Linked DNA regions of Zea mays. The protein of the gene in region 1 binds, or shares a complex with, the protein of each later gene. Links are inferred from orthologs where the notes say so. Each region holds a gene or a part of one and is shown in the gene's direction. Other genes may lie near its edges. The genes, in order: Protein TIC 55, chloroplastic-like; Protein TIC 20-v, chloroplastic.

Evidence for each region.
Region 2: Protein TIC 55, chloroplastic-like (region 1) and Protein TIC 20-v, chloroplastic share a complex: the UniProt entries of both Arabidopsis thaliana proteins name them as parts of the tic complex. The link is inferred for Zea mays from reciprocal best matches to the Arabidopsis thaliana genes TIC55-II and Tic20-V.

Annotation. Positions count from the first base shown.
Region 1 is NC_050100.1:221,688,989-221,697,680, forward strand, and holds Protein TIC 55, chloroplastic-like, read left to right. Parts: upstream 1-3,666; 5' UTR 3,667-3,667; coding exon 3,668-4,062; intron 4,063-4,172; coding exon 4,173-4,275; intron 4,276-4,368; coding exon 4,369-5,487; 3' UTR 5,488-5,610; downstream 5,611-8,692. Other genes in the region: uncharacterized protein LOC100191588 precursor, read right to left, coding at 5,984-6,276, 6,368-6,605, 6,892-7,066, 7,157-7,268, 7,707-7,946, 8,048-8,231. UniProt on the Arabidopsis thaliana protein: Involved in protein precursor import into chloroplasts. Part of the redox regulon consisting of TIC32, TIC 55 and TIC62.
Region 2 is NC_050100.1:212,571,023-212,579,107, forward strand, and holds Protein TIC 20-v, chloroplastic, read left to right. Parts: upstream 1-4,171; 5' UTR 4,172-4,301; coding exon 4,302-4,946; 3' UTR 4,947-5,338; downstream 5,339-8,085. Other genes in the region: solute carrier family 35 member F2, read left to right, coding at 353-1,306, 1,789-1,843, 1,946-2,028, 2,804-2,869, 3,130-3,135; uncharacterized protein LOC100279738, read right to left, coding at 5,402-5,479, 5,602-5,728, 5,810-5,945, 6,046-6,223, 6,345-6,383, 6,519-6,611, 7,455-7,524, 7,794-7,908 and 1 more. UniProt on the Arabidopsis thaliana protein: May be involved in protein precursor import into chloroplasts. Not redundant with TIC20-I, TIC20-II or TIC20-IV.

The DNA of each region.
Region 1 (8,692 bases):
TTTGTCATGTCATTCAAACCGCAAAGTTTAAGTTTTTGTTTTTTTTCATTATCTAGGTCCTGTTTAAAATCAACTCATTTTTTACGAAATCATTTTTTTAGCTAGAAAAGACTAGTTTTTTTGTTTTCAAAAACCATGAATCCAATTTTTATAAACTGGGACATAAACTGATATGTTTAAAACTATCTCGGTTTCCATAAACCAATTTCTTAAAAGGTGGTTCCAAACAGGTCCTTACTTAGGTTTGGTCGTTCGGACATGAGAATTAACAAACAATAAAAGTATATAGTGTACGGAAAATGAGAAAACAAGAAGAAGAGAGAGAGAGATACATGCGTAAAGAAAGAAAATCATACTAAAATAAAATACATATGCTAAAAAACTAGCTAACTAATAATTGATAGGTAATTGTTAATTAATTTAGAACTGATTTAGTGATCAGTGAAATTAAGGGGATCCATGAGCCCCTATAGATTCTTTTTGTTTCTCTGGTCACCAAACCAGCCCCTTAGTGTTTTAGGATACAATATCTAGATGTGCCATTGATGTTCTTGACTAATACTCTCTGTTTAACTCGCTAATGGTAGGACACATGGATATATAAAGATAAGTGGAATAATAAAAGTATTTTTCGCAATACATTAGTTGATTCGATATAGAGAGGGAACACTAGTGCACTACTCGCTTTGTCCAAATTTATAGGTCCCTTTGGCTTTTCTTTGCTTATTTTATTGGTCGTTTGGCTTTTTACGATACATATATTTCTATTTTGTAGCTCAGTATATCGTATATCTAGGTATATAACAACAACTATGTACCTAGTGAGTTGTAGACGTCGTACGACACCACAGATAAAAATTATGGGCAGAGCGAGGGGCGTAGGGTAGAGCCACACCGATTTTAGGTGCATCCTGATTAGTAGCACATTGACATTGTATAAAGGTTCAGGTCGCAAGATACGTAATGTGAACGCTCTCTTTAACTTTAGTAGCTCAATGAACATAGAGGTGAATAAGATTACAAAATTAGATATCAAATAAGTCTCATAACCTCTTAACTCTTCTCATTGGTTTTGGTGAGAATTCTAGGCTAATGGTCTCTAGTTTACCTCTATGTCTCTATGCGTGCCCTCTAGCACCTTTGAATGAGTCATAGCTGTTCTAACTGAATTGAACCCGAATGAATCAACCGGATCATTCCATCTCCCTTCCATGTTTCTATACTCCTCCATTTATATGCCTACTGGGTTATGACCTAGTTCAATACAGGTCAACAACAATTATCTCATCGTAGTCATGGAGTACTAAATGGTTGCATGCCTTGATCGTGCCACGATGCTGAGGATGTCATATTGCGGTTATAGATAAGTCGTATCATAGAGGTAGTTATGACTTGTCATAGCGATGGGTATCAGAGTCCATGTTGTTGGGTATGATGTAGTTGGTAACAGATGTAGCAGTCTATATTTTTTAATGCTTGCTGGTACACTAACATATGGAGACATGTCTACAAGAATGATGGCATATATCAAATAGTGGTCTTAAGTATGCCCGATGTCTACGTCATGTACCGAATAGTGGTCTTGAGTATGTCTAGTGTCTATCTCGTGGGAATAGTGCGCATACTTTACTACAATATCAACCAACACATTTAATGTGGTGAACGAGATACCTTTCCAAACCATTAGTAACACAAGTCGTTTGGAGTAGACTTTAACATAGTACGAGTGTTATACCTTTGAGGACTTCCCTACTCTAAGGATAGGCTGCCATATTCTTTGTTCTGTAGGTGCTCCCATACAACTGAGTCGGAGCATTATTTTTCATATGAAGGACCCTAGGACCTGGCTATTAGTCATAACTCTAAGGTCGAGGTCATGAAATATTTAGGGAGGCCTCTATGGGGCCTAGGTGAGCGAGAGAACTCTAGAAGCTTGGGAATGCCTCAAAGTATAGAAAGATCCTGAGGCCTTAGGGGCCCTGGTCATGCCAATTATGATGGACGGGAGTGGCTAGGACAACCTCACGGGTTCAGGGGCTCAAGATGAGGTCCATTAGGGTGGGTCTCTAGGGGCACATGTCTGGAGTTAGTCAGGCTCTCGATTACTTTTATCGAGATCCTTAGAAGGCATCTTCATCTAGAGTGTGACCTTCCCCATGCGCTAATAGAGGTCCCCAAGTCAACCATAGACCTATGAGGCTTGCTGGTGGGCCCAAATTTCTCGTAATACACTTGAGAAAAGAAGACTTATTATCTGTTAGAGAACTACTACATAGTTCAATGATGGCAAGCACCCAATACCTGGTGCACTAAGTGTCGTCATGGTACAACATTACAGTACCATAAGCAACCAAAAGACACGAAGAAAGTTTATGGACAGAGCAAGGAGCATAATCTATAGGCGCATTGATCCTAGGTGTAGCACATAGTCATTTTATAAAGGGCTAGGCCACAAGATGATACCATATGTCCTCTTTAAGTACGATGGTTTGACGAACACATAGGTGAAGAAGAATACAAGCTCAGATATCAACTAAGCGTCATGATCTTCTAGCTCTCCCTTACTATTCGGTTCTCATGAGTTCTAGGCTAGTGGTCCCTAGTTCACCTCTATGTATGACCTCCAACAACGTGCTCTAATTTTTGCCATCTAAAAGAATATTCTCTATCCTTTAGAACACACTCTAGAAAATTTCATCCTCTATATCTTTATCATCTCCAACAACATCCTCTAAATTTCATTCTCTGCAACATTGTCTTTCTTCTCCGACACCCCACCTCCACCGTTGTACTCCATCCATCCACCCAGTATCTCCCATGCCCCTAGATGCGGGTTGAGAAGCACTCCACACGGAGCGCCGTGTCCAGGATCACCTATCTCATCTCCGGCAACACAGAGGATGGACTTGTGCTGCGCCGAGGTGGGGGAGAAGCATAGCAACAAACAAGGGAGGAGTGCGAAGAGAGAAAGATCGAGTTACAGGTCCTATGCGCCTACGTCATCCAAGGTCGTGTTTGTTGCACATCCGGTCGCCGTGCGCCTCGTCGTCCTCTTCTACCGTGGATGCAAGTTGGGAGGTGCTGGCTGATGTGCTACTTTGTCGCGGCGTGCACAGCCGACCTGTAGTCTCTCTACACAAGACGGTGCACATAGCCGACACAACGGAACACTCTACATCTGTTGTGCGCGTTAGTGGTCCGCTACTTTAGCGGGTCCTTTAGCGGACCTTGAGAACGAAAAGCAGATTGCGCACGTTAAATTTAGCGTACAGGAGCATTTACAGAGTCTTGCTCTCGAGAGTCTTGTACGTTTAAATTGACAAGCTAATTTTACGCAAATAAATAACAATTTGGATAGATCCAAACGAGATATTATTATAGCTGACCAGTGTAAGCTAGTTCATGCACACGCAAAAAAATCTCGCGATATACTAGTCCGTCAATCGGTCACACTTGGACGAGAGTGACACACGAGAGATCACGGCAAGTGTGGGAGTCTGGAACCGGGACGCTATAGTAGTAGACTAGGTGGCAGAAAGCTGGAGCCGCCATCTGCCGTGTGCGTTGCACACTTGCGCTCGTAGTCGTAGGTGACTCGTAAGGTTTTTATCCGGTGAGGCCGCAGAGATCGAGCGCTCTCGGCCAACCAAACGTCGTGGGACCGAACATGACAACGCCCTCTACCGCACCAGCGCCACTGGCATCTCTCCTCCGCGTCTCCGCTGCCGCTGTTCCAGTGGCTCGACGACGTCCTAAGAGCCCCGCGGCTGCGGCGGCGGCACGGTGGGAGGGAGGTGGGGGCAGAAGGAGGTGCCGGGCGGCGGTGGTGGAGGAAGCCGGGGTGCTGCTGCCCAAGGAGGGGGAGGGGGAGGGGGAGGGGGAGGAGGCCCCGGACGCGGCGGCGGGGCGCTACGACTGGAGGGAGGAGTGGTACCCGCTGTACCTGGCCAAGGAGGTGCCCGACGACGCGGCGCTCCCGCTCACCGTCTTCGACCGCCAGCTCGTGCTCTGGCGCGACGCCCACGGCGTGCTCCGCTGCCACGAGGACCGGTGCCCTCACAGGTGAGATCCTCCGGCCGGTCCACTCTTGTGTGCGTGCAACGATTGGTTTGGTCGAGAACCAGCAGCTGAAACACGATTAATTGCTCCCAAAATGCTTACCGATCGATCAGGTTAGCGAAGCTATCGGAAGGGCAGATCGTGGACGGCAAGCTGGAGTGCCTCTACCATGGCTGGCAGTTCGACGGCGACGGCAAGTGCGTCAAGATACCACAGGTCTCTCTCTCTCCCACCTTTCTTACTGACGCCCCTACCCTACGCGGCGAGAGCATGGATGGGTGATGTGATGGGTCCGTGCCTGCACTGCAGCTGCCCGAGGGCGCCAAGATCCCGCGCAGCGCGTGCGCGCGCAACTACGAGGTGCGCGACTCGCAGGGCGTGGTGTGGGTGTGGATGTCGGACGCCAACCCTCCCGACGAAGGGAAGCTGCCGTGGTTCGAGCCGTACGCGCGGGCGGGGTTCACGGACCTGTCGACGGTGCACGAGCTCCCCTACGACCACTCCATCCTGCTGGAGAACCTCATGGACCCCGCGCACGTGCCCATCTCCCACGACCGCACCGACTGGACGGCCAAGCGCGAGGACGCGCAGCCGCTCTTCTTCGACGTCACCGAGCGCACGCCCCGCGGCTTCGCGGGCTACTGGGGCCGCACCGGCACGCCGCACCTCCGCAACCTTCTGCGCTTCGAGGCCCCCTGCGTGCTCACCAACACGCTAGAGTTCGCCGACAAGGACGGCAGGGAGCAGTGCTTCTCCGCGCACTTCCTCTGCCGCCCCGCCGGGCAGGGCAAGTCCATGCTCCTCGTGCGCTTCGGCTCCACCCTCAGGTCGCCGCTCGCCAAGGTGCTCCCGTCCTGGTACTTCCACCAGAACGCGTGCAAGGTGTTCGAGCAGGACATGGGGTTCCTGTCGTCGCAGAACGAGGTGCTGCTCCGGGAGAAGCTGCCCACCAGGGAGCTCTACCTCAACCTCCGCTCCTCCGACACCTGGGTCGCCGAGTACAGGAAGTGGATGGACAGGGCGGGCCACGGCATGCCCTACTACTTCGGCCACAGCACCCTGTCGCCGCCGCCCGTGCCGGCCGTCGTGGAGCAGGCGCCCGCAGGGGCCGTCGCGGGGATCTCGGCCTCGTTCCCGGCCAAGGGCGGCGTCGGCATGGTGCACGCGCCCAACCCGACCAACAGGTACTTCCGCCACGTCGTGCACTGCAAGGGTTGCAGGGCAACCGTCAAAAAGTACACCTCGTTGAAGACCGTGTTCGCGGCCCTCGCGGCGGCGGCCCTATCGGCCGCCATCCTGGCGGCGACGAGACAGTGGAAGGCCGTCTTGGTGGCGGCGTCGGCCGTGCTAGCCGCCGCATCCTATGCGTGTGACGCGGTGCTTTCTTTGATCACCACCAACTTCATCAGGACACACAGGAGACTGTAATTAATGTGGTACTGGCCACTGTATATTTAGGTAATGGCCGGCGGGGAACGTTCTGTACATTTGTATCACCGTAGCTGCTGGCCTGCGGCTGTTGTATTTTGTATATTTGCAGTAACGTTTTGCATGTCAGCAGCAACTGATTAGGTTGGTTACCTTACCGGTTAGTTTTTTTACTACTGCAGCACAAACTCAGAATTAGAAGATAATCAACATAGCAAAAGATTTAAGTCCGCAGACACAGCCACCAAGCAATCGATACACAACACGCTCGCACGAAGCATTCTTAAAATTCTCCAGTATATACACAATACAAGCAGCACACGTTCACTGTTAAGATAGTGGCACAATGCCTAAAGTCACATGTTATTAAGTAGACAAACTTGATAACAGTGGGCAAACACCGACTCGGAGCATGTTTTAAAGGCAACATACTTGATAGGATATATTAGCTACCACAGTAGACACGTTTGATGCTCCAGGCTTACCGTGGTTGAACTTAGAATTCCCTGTCGGGAAAGAGGACGGGTGCAACAAGCGACCATATGAACAGACCTGCCGTCGCCCACTGGGTTGCAATCCTGACCCAGACAGATGGCCACCCAACATCCACAAGCTTTCCGCTCTCACCAACCGAAGTTGACCAGCCAGTCAAGAGCATTGCCGAGTACATGCTGGCCAGGGAGAAGATGAGGTGAAAGAAAGAGTAGGAGTATGTCACCGGCCTCGGCACATCCTTCTTATCTTCTTGTTCGTCTGCCTTGCTGAAGGGAAGCAATGGCTTGTCGGTCCCTGGAAGGTAAAAGGGAAAAAGGTATCATAATTAACGATGCAAACCCAATATTTGCAAAACTAGCTCATTAGCCACAGAACGCAATCTAACCACGTGGTGAGTCTGGTGGCGAGAGCACAGTTGCAGAGGAGCCAGCGCGGACAGCAGAATAGACCACAGAGAGGACCGTGGTAAGGAGTCCCAATGTAAGGCTACCAGTTGACACAGCTTTTGAGTGATTGTGAAGCCCATTGCATTCGTAATCCCTTGGCTCACTGGAGAGTCCACTGTAGCACAGATATGTACAGTACATACCAATAACTGATGCAGGCAACAAGCTTCCATTGATCTGAAAATCAGAAACTTCAAAGTTCAGCATTATTTAGCACAAAAAAGATAGTTACATTCAAGGGAAATGTATAGACATAGTTTTTGGAAAGCATGGTCATACGATGGCCAAGATGGAATCTAAAACAATCAAACCAACCCAATAATCTAGAGTTGCAAGTATAATACTGCCCCAAACCCCAAACCCATCCAGTATAACTTATCAAGCAACGGTTTCTGGTCAAATCAAGTAATATAAACAAATGCAAAATCAGTAAAACGGAGAAAAACAGGCTACATGATGGTACCTTTGGGTGCAGGGCAACAATAGCAAACGCAAAAACAAGAATCAACGTGAAGACAATGAAAAACAGGTTGAGTCCGCAGTCATGTCCAGATGGAGTGAACCAGTGAAATAGGAGACCCGAGAAACAGAACGTGGCAATGTAACAGACAACCGAGACAACCAACAGAGCCATGTACCTGCAGCGACAAAAGAGCATAAATAATACAAAAAAAAACACCAATGGGAGCCCAAGCAAGTATAGGAAATAGCATCAGCAAGCAACCAACCAGAACTGCTCATCCTTGGCGACCCAGTTCTCATTCCATCCGTGCACAAAATCCAACAGCAGAACAACCTGAACGAGAAGGAACAGCCCAGAGCCAAACTTGGATATAGATTCTGCAGAAGTAGAATTGTAGTAAGAATTCCAAACACAGCTGACACACAAATGACGGGATACATAACAAAGTACATGAATGACCAACAACAGCAAAGCAGTAACTAATTACTAAATGTTCAGGGAACTCGACAAATGTAGTAAGTCTACAAGTAAAAACAGCTGACTACCAATTGGGTTTATCCATTGCACACGCCCAGTAAGTCTACAAGTCGAGAATTGCATAAATTCTGAATCAGAAATCTCCTTAATTTTCTTATGAGCCTCACGGAACTCAAAAAAAACTTCATGAAAGGGGTTGTTTGTTTCTCAAAAAAGATTAGTGCCATCATGATATGTCAAGTATCTATCAACTATGCGTTCAAATAAAAAGGTTTCTATTTGTGATCGCAATATGAATCAAATGGTCTGACAAATAGAAGGAAAGGGAGTTAGCTCACCATAGAAGCTGACGACCCCGTTGGGCACGAAGAACATGAGGAAGACGATGATGACCCAGCAGAAGATCTTGGCCATCCATCCGCCGTGGTGGATCTTGTCACGGGGGTCCTTCTGGTCCTTTATCCCGGCCATGATGACGGCGAGGATGGTGAAGAAGAGGAAGTTGCCGAGGCTGACCCTGAGCACCGCGTCGGTCTCGAACCACTCGCGGTCGGGGGTCTTGTGGAAGTGGTTAATCCCTGCGGAAACAGAGAGAGAGGTCTCGATGAATGTTTCGATGAACTGAACCGACGAATCGAACCGAGGGAAAGTAGGGGGGATTCGGGTCAGCGCCGCGCACATGGGATCGACTGGAGGAGGGGCGCGGCGACCTCGCGGAGCGCCCAGGATGCGAAGAGGGAGAGCGCGAAGAGGCCGCAGTAGGCGATGCGGGCGGAGCGGCGGCCGATGCTGCCGACCGCCGTCCGGCACGCCTCGCACGCGCACGCCGCGCAGCACGACGCCAGGCACGATGCCGCCCACATGGTGGCTGGTGCCCCGGCTCCGCCGATCAGATGGAGTCGACTCGCTAGGAGGATCGAATCCGATGGACGGCGCCGCCGCGGATATGGGGATTTCTAGTAGGGTGGGAGAATTTGGGGAACGCGTGTTGGGAGGGGACGGAGAAAGAGAAGATGGGGAAAGCCGGAAGGAGGGGGTGGAGGTGGATTTGCACGCACGAGACGGGCGGACGGAAAGGGGCGGACGGCGTGCCGGTGGAGTTGGTTGGGTTGGACCGGATAAGGAGACCGAGTCCGCTTGCAGTATCCCACGGCAACATCGACCAGGAAAACCAAATACGAGTGCGGTTTAATGTGTCTGTGAGTTGCGTAGGCAGAAGCCTGTTGCGTGTTGCGTCGACATTGAAGTCAATCTAAGAATTTTCTCAGCAGTTTTTAGGGTACAGATGTGTACGTGTGCATTCGTGACGTCCTCGTACCCTGAT
Region 2 (8,085 bases), about 9.1 Mb from region 1:
GGTCATTTCAGCCAAGCCTTCGTTTGCTTCCATGGACGCCCAAGTGGTGTTTGCAGAAATGCCACAAAGGTACATCATCACTTTCTTCTCAGATTCAGCGGGTGAAATGCTTCCATGTTTGGACACCAATGTATATGATGCTAAGAGGGGGTTTGTGGCGAAGATTGATGAGTACTCAGTAGTGTTGTGGCCACCGTTCACTGATTACTTGAATTGGATGTTGTCAAGGCAACCATGGCCTCCACCTATATTATTGGCTAAGCTGGATGTACCTGTCAGTGGAGTTGAGGACGGACTGGCAAACACAATCCTGACACTGCCTTTTGCAACTTAGCAGGAGATCCTTCTGGCAATGATTTGTTGTTCGGGTATAGGTGACAGGAAGGCAAAGCTACAGGCACAATTTACACAAATGCGTCCTGTTGTACGAGTGGCACAAGATGCCCAGGATCTTCTTGTAGAATGTTGCGTATGGTTCATCAATCTCCTTTCGTCTGAATCCAATGAAGTGCACAGCTACAAACAATCATTGCTGAATTACATCCTTCTTGACATCATTGATGTGGAAGTTCATTACATCGTTGTGTCGGCTTATCAGTACACGTCCTTAACCAGTGTGATGCTGCGGAATTGCTGGTCGGTTCCATGTGTCATTGTGTGCAGTTGGATCTTCCTGAAGGCAAAGTATGGGCTGAGGAATTTATTGGGTGTGGGAGTTTGCGTGGCTAGGCTAATTTTGGTCTTATTTTCGGATGTACATGCTTTCGGTCGAGAAAAAGGACTCAACTTTCTAACAGGTGATTTGCTTGTCATTGGAGGCTCCATGCTTCATGCCTTCAGCAGGGTTACCAAGGAGTACTTTGTCCACGAAAGCACCAGAGTTGAGGTGATGGCAATGCTAGGTGTTTTTAGAGCAATTATAAATGGTATACAGATAAGCATATTCAAACAAAAAGAGCTCAGATCGACTCACTGGACTGCTGATATGTGGGCTGTTCTAATGCGTACAATCGCTTACCAAGAGAAGGTTGATGTGATGTACTTCATTTCTTTTGTTGGCACAGCAACTGGCTTTGTGATATACTCATACAGGGGCTCAAGGCAGAATACTAGAGAGACAGCACGAGTTACACATGCCATGGATGAGGAGGCTGCAGCGGCAAACAACACAGCACAAGTTCCTGTTACTTTTGGTCAGTGCTTGCAATTTTCCTGGGATCCTGGTGGAAGTAATGCTACACATCGGCTTGAGGGCAAGCCGAATTTTAAGAAGAGGGGAATGTTAGGAAAGATGAATGAGTCTCTGGTATGTGGGGCTGCGTCCCTGAGTCACTGGTCCGTGGAACATATGTCGTAGTATAAGTACGATAGCTGCTTTGGGCAGGGGGATGAAATTACGGAGAAACTGAATACAACGGAGCTCTCTGTTGTCTCATTCCCAACCCAAGCTATCTCTCTCGCCTACCTCTTTCTCTTCTCCAATCCGCCTGTGATCGGTGTGCTAACAAGGACACCGTCAGCAGTGATGAATATCGAGGTCCCCGCGTCGCTGGGGTGACATCCGTAGTGACAACTCTACCATCTAGATTTCGCTATGAGCTCTAGCTTTTCCACAAATTTCTGCTCCACTTGACAACTTAAGCTGGAGCAACCTTCACGTGGAGCGGAGGAGATGTTTGGCTAGAAGGATACCCTTAGCTCAAAAAAATTGTCATTATTGCCCCTAATATAGGTTCCAGATGTCATCCCCTATGTCTGTGTCTCCTTCTTCACGCACATGCTTGCTAGGACAGGAAGGGGATGCCGGTTTTTCCAGAGCATCCAACAATAAAGGTGTATGAAGGTATTCTAGTGTGATTGGTGATCGGGGGGAGGGGGATGACTTCCCATGGCTTGGACGTCGTTAGGTTGTCGATGTTGTGCACTCCTATATATGTTGTGCCAGAAGGAGGAAGCAATCAGACACTTGAAGATAATGTGGTCGTAATCTTCATCTGCCTGACAGAGCCAAGGTCACACACGACGCTGGTAATCATCCCTTTCTTGACAAGGTTCTTTTTGTGGTTAACCTTTCCTTATATGAGGATCCACACAAAGAACTTAAACTTTAGGAGAGAAAGAGCTTCACACGAAGTCTGGATTATCAAAGTTGGAGGTAGTCATTGATTGATCAGCTTGTAGAGCATACCGGTTTTTAGGATCCCTTCTATGTCAATCAGTGGGCTTAGTCTTTTATCATTTTGTTGTGTGAGAGAGATGTCGTGGAGGGTGTTCTGGAGGGTGGCAAGCTCCTGTCTTTGAGGTTGTGCTCAGGCGTGGTTTGAGGTGCTGATCCAAGCCCATCAAGCAGCACTTGCCTGACAGTGGTTTCCATATTCGTTGCATGGCTTGCAAGGGAGGGGAAGCTGTCTGTGATCGGACCACTATCCATCTAATCATCAAGGCGGAAGCAAGTTGTCCTACCATTCCCGATGCTCTCTCATAGTGGTGATCACGCGGGAGGAGTTTCTGCATGCTATCCTAGTTTGCTCTTGACAGAGGGAGGCCAAAGTAAGTTTGGGGGAAGCCTTCCAACTTGGCACCGCACTGCAGGATCGAGGTGAATTGACCGGCTTGATGTTGTGGGTCAACATGAATGGGAACAAGGGTGCTCTCATCGTAGTTGATGCAAAGACCTGTTGCTTGGGCAAAAGTGTCAAGGATCATCCGGAGCTAGGTGACACTAGAGAGGGAAGCATATGTGGCAATGAGTGTATCATATTTGCATATTGGATTACCGGCCCCCGGTTTTGTCATTTGACAGTGGGTGGCGGACTTCCCCGTTTTTCTTGATGAGAACCTGAAGGACATCTTCCACTGGCAGGAACTGGTAAGGTGAGTGGTGAGATCGGGTCGCTCTGCCTCAGGCCTTTCTTGCATGGGAACCATGGGTCGAGGCAAGTAGGCAACCGTGGAGGAGATTTCCAGAGCTTGAGGTGGAGAGGATCTCGGCGATCCAGGATCTCCATCGGTCAGGGAAGCCTCTCTCTGCCATGGTCCTTCAGAGAGCTTCCCAATTCACGGTGTCGAAGCCTTGGCAAAGTATAATTTGATCACTAGGACTGGTGTGGTGTTTTCCTTTTGTGGCAGGTCTGAACAAGTTCAAAAGTGTAGATGAAGCTCTCTGTGATCGATCTGCCTCGAATGAACCCGATTTGGTCAGTGTCGATGATCCTGTCAATCTGTCGTTGTAACCTGGTGGTGAGTATCTTGCTGAGTATTTTGACGCCGCAGTTATGCAAAGAAATAGGGTGGAAGTTTGACGGCGGTTTGATTTGCTGTCCAACTTACCATATTTTATCTATTTTTTATGTCTAAGCTTAGTTCTTCGATTCAAATAATTAACATTAAACAAATTATGACATAGTTAACCGTTTTATCTATTTTTTATGTCTAAGCTTAGTTCTTCAATTCAAACGATTAATATTAAATAAATTGTGACATAGTTAGCCGTGAACCAAATAGACTGAGTGTCCTTTTTTATGAGGAAAATGTAGGAGTGGTTATTCCGCCCGGGTCAGCTCTCCCGGAGTGGAAATCGTTTTGAGAGGCATCACTACTTTGCTATTATGAAACATGCCGCATATGCTATAATATCATTTGATTGTTTAAAAAATGAAAATAATAAATATATTATAGACATTGAGGGATGATTTGCCTCTGTTGTTGTTCGTGCATTCACTTTGGTCGCTGATGTTCGTCTCCCTATAAAATTGACCCTCAATGTCGCTATATATATAATATATATATTTCTTTTCCGATTTATTAAACGATCAAATGATATCATAACGTGGATGACATGTTTTATAATGATATTCAGACGAATCCTCTCAAAACGATGAATCCCAATTTTTTCCGTGGCGGGCCACAGCGGGCCACGCTGCAAGGCGCGAGCGCATGCCGGCCGGCATGGCGGCCCACGTGAGGCTCACCGCGCGTCGCCCACGCGCCCGTCCTTCCTCCCCCGCGACGCCGCAGCAGCACGGCCCGCACTGGCACTGCACCAAGCAGGCAGGCAGGCAGAAGCAGGCACCACCAACCAATCTCCTCGTCTCCCACTCGGCTACCCACATCCCCCGGAGCTCCACAAAAATCTCCGCTCCCAGGCTCCCACCCGCGCGGAGGGGGCAAGCAGCCAGCAGCCGCGCGGCGCCACTGCCTTGCCCTCAACCCCTCACCCAAACGCCTCGCTTTGGCCGCCCCCCACAAGGCCACTCACCCAAAAAATCTCCACTCCTCGACCGCACCGAGCAGAGGATCACATGGCATCCGCCGTTTCGCTTCTCCTCTCGCCCCCGCGCCTGCTCCACCGCGACGGCACATCCCGCCTCCTCAGCATCCCGCACCGGCGGGTCCTCCTCGCCGCCCCCAACAACGCGACCCCTCGTCGGCTCCTGGCCCCCGCGCCGCGCGCCTCCAACAAAAACGACAACAGCGGGGCCGTGGAGGCGCCCGACCGCCTCGTGGCCGCGGTCGCCTACCTATACCCGTTCCTCGACGGCGCGCACCACGGGCGCTTCCTTCTCACGCAGTTCCCCTTCTTCGGCGCGCTGCTCCGCCCGCTGGCCCCCGCGGCTCGGCTCTTCCACTCATCGCCGCTCACGCCCTTCCTCCTCTTCCTCACGCTCTACTTCGCCGTTGTGCGGAACCAGCAGGCGTTCTCCCGCTTCGTCCGCTTCAACGCGATGCAGGCCGTCGTGCTCGACGTGCTGCTCATCTTTCCCGACCTGCTCGCGCAGTCGTTCGCGCCCTCCGGTGGGGTTGGGTTCGAGATCTTCCAGAGCATGGAGAGCACGGTCTTCCTCTTCCTGCTCGTCTCCTTGGTGTACGGCGGTGGCGCCTGCCTGCTCGGGAAGACACCACGTCTGCCCATTGTCGCAGATGCAGCGGAGCGCCAGGTGATGTGACTACAATTCGTTTCCTGCGGACCATGTTGATGGAAAGGGAATCTGATGATATGCAGAAAACATCCCAATGGTTCGTTGGCGCTTGCAGCAAATCACAAGCTTAGTATAATTTACAATTGCCTTGCTGTTTATATAGGTCTAGTTGCCGATTGAATGCATGTACTGTGGAAGGTTGATACAAAAACGTTGCAATACTACCATATTTGTTGAATTGACAAATTTTGAGAGAGCAGTACATGTACACTGTTTTACAATCTGAATTGCATTTACAAATGAGGAGGAATGTCTGAATTGGGGAGCTTTATGACTACCCTCCCCTGAGCAGCTTCCTTTGTACCTGAATGGAGGCTTAGGTCAGTAATTGTGATTTCAATATAAATAAGAGCATTCCATCAATTGTCAATTTCGTCGACAAAGTCCTGGTCTGTTGTCGGCTTGTCGCCACAGTTTGAATTTCAGTTTGAGCTGGAGATCTTGCTTCTCTCGCCCCGAAGCTTCTTGGTCACATGTATAATATCTTCACATTCATGATCCTGTCAGGTAAGGTTAAAAAGAAGTGGTAAAGAAATGGCTGATTCTGTGAATAAGCCATGACATAAGTCTAGCAACTTTGCAAGCATTAACGTGCTGATATACTTTCATGTGCTGTTATTACCTTCAAATTGTCATGTATATTATTAGGTTCTGTTGCTCTTCTGTCCATACTGATCTCTACAGATATACTAGCTTGAGATGGGTCTACTCCCGACCTTTTTAGAGCTTGTGTCAATCTATTTAGAAGCCTGATGTAAATAATGTTTTCTCTTGTTAGTTGCAGATATAGCAAAATTACCATCATAAACAACAGTAGTTTCGGAACAAACCCTTGAGAGTAAGCATCAGAAAGACTTTGAGTATCCTCTTGGAGAGTTTGTTTCTCGTTCTTGCTCAGTGTTTTGTTGTCTGCATCAGAGGTTGACATGCTCAACCATGGTGGCTGTTTGCCAGGTACGCTGTTGTCTGCATTTTAAAGCTATTAGCCTTAGTAAATCAATTTCTTGCCATGATCTTAGCAATTGAAAGGTGGTAATGCAACGAAAGAAGGAAATTGGGAACTTACCTGCCCTGCATTTTGCTTTGCTTGTTGCCTTTTGGGAGGAAATATCGTTTGCACTAGTTTCTCTAGCACTTTGTGTGTCAAAGAGAGCAGACGATGCCACCGTAGTTTGCTTGGAATCATACTGTTCTTTGTTCTCATCTTTCGTGGAAGGTGCTAATCCTCCTCCTTGGATGATATTCTGCGAGACCATGAAAAAGAACAAAGAAATTTGTTATCATTGATATATCATGGGCTCCATGCTTCCATGTGGCATTCCTTTTTTCTTTGGTATGTGTGTGTGCACGCGCGTGTGGAATTACCTCTGTGTTTTTCCAGCATGATCTGTAGTAAACTTTTGCCTAGCAAGGGGAAAAAATAGTGGACAAGTGAGTTAAAATCCAAATGCAGCCCTTTTTTTTGTGTTATATAGTAAAATATGTGCATGATTATTGTGCAGTACTGCGATGAACGTGATAACGTGGCTATGTTAGTACCCATGGCATGGAGGAGTCCTCGTGATTCTTTTCTGGTTGGGCTGACTCGTACTTTTGGACCTTCTCTTGCAAGAACCTTATGTATTCAATAACCTGCGAGCAAAATGTTCCACATGCTAAAATACTTGCTGTAACGTGCTGATCAGGATTCCGGTCTCCCCAGTTGCTGAGATCATGTTACATTGAAATATTTTTTAGTATTATATTTTCGTTCTGGTTCGTGTTATGTGTTTGCGTATCATTGAACAAGCAACATGGAGGATATTGCACCCAAAACTGGGACCAAAGGGGGCATTTCAATGTTATAAGAGCATCTCAAGAGGAGCCCTAAATAAGAAATTGTATTTTAAAATATAGGGCTCAAAAAATCATAAAACAAAAAAAACTTGACCTGCGGCATCGAAGCCCATGTGAGAACGACCACGACCGGGGCTGAGCCTTAGACCTGTGCTTTGTCGTGGGACAGACGAGTGGATTTTTTTAACCACAGCCTAAAATTCGCTCCCACGGGGAGTCGAACCTAGGACCTGAGGAGTGCTACTCAGACCACCTAACCAACTCAGCTAGAGGCTCTTTCGCAAAAAAAAAATCATAAAACATTTAGTCCTATTTTATAAAAAATCATCAAACGATTATAGAGTTCGGTCTCTCGGACCCTAAATATAGTACCCCATATGTTAGAACCCTAACCTTCTTTCCTCTTAATCTACAACTATTTATTTTCTAATAACGTGATTTATTTTCTAAATAGCATTATTTAAAGCCTAACTGTTGGAGTAAAATGTTTTATTGAGGTCCTAAACATTTTAAATATGATTATATTTTTAACTTTTAGAGCTTTATTTTAGACCTTGTTGGAGATGCTCTAAGTGCAGCATTATGAGATCTCTGGTTACCGGCGGCTGGCTGTTGTAGAAAGGTTGGCGATCTATTTACCTCAAGAAGGAAAGATGCCTTGTCCCTCTTCTGGTCACCGTGCGGCAGGAGTTCCCGAAGTATTTCCAACCTAAACCAGAGGCATATACACACATACTCGTTAAAATGCATCTCCCATATATATCGCATCTCATGTATCTATCTGCTGCTGTTCGGCAACAGAAGTAGAATTCAAGATTTGCGTGTTGATGACAAGTTCATGCCGTGATGTAATTCCAACATGTTGAGCAGACAGCTGGCTCACTCAGCTTCCCTACGTTCTGGGTAAATCTTTTTTTTTAGTTTCTGATCTGCTAGATGCAATTGATGAAAATTGAAATTGGACTCAACGAGCATTGCCTGTCGTTTATCTTTGTCCGTCTCCGCTGCTCGGTAGCGGAATGCTTGGATCTCGGTGTGCTGGGCCCCTGATCGGCGCTGCTGCCGCTGCTTCTCCCCTCCCCTCCTCTCGCGCCTGAACATGCAGCAGGGCAGTGTAATAAAAGAGGGTCCTGAATTCTGGAACCGACCCGAGAGAAGAAAAAACGACAGCGTATGTATATATAAATTTTCACCTCTGGATCTTTGGTCGACGCCAGAATCTTGCCACATCGCGAGCGGGCCGCTGTGAGCCCTGGCTCCCGATTCTGCT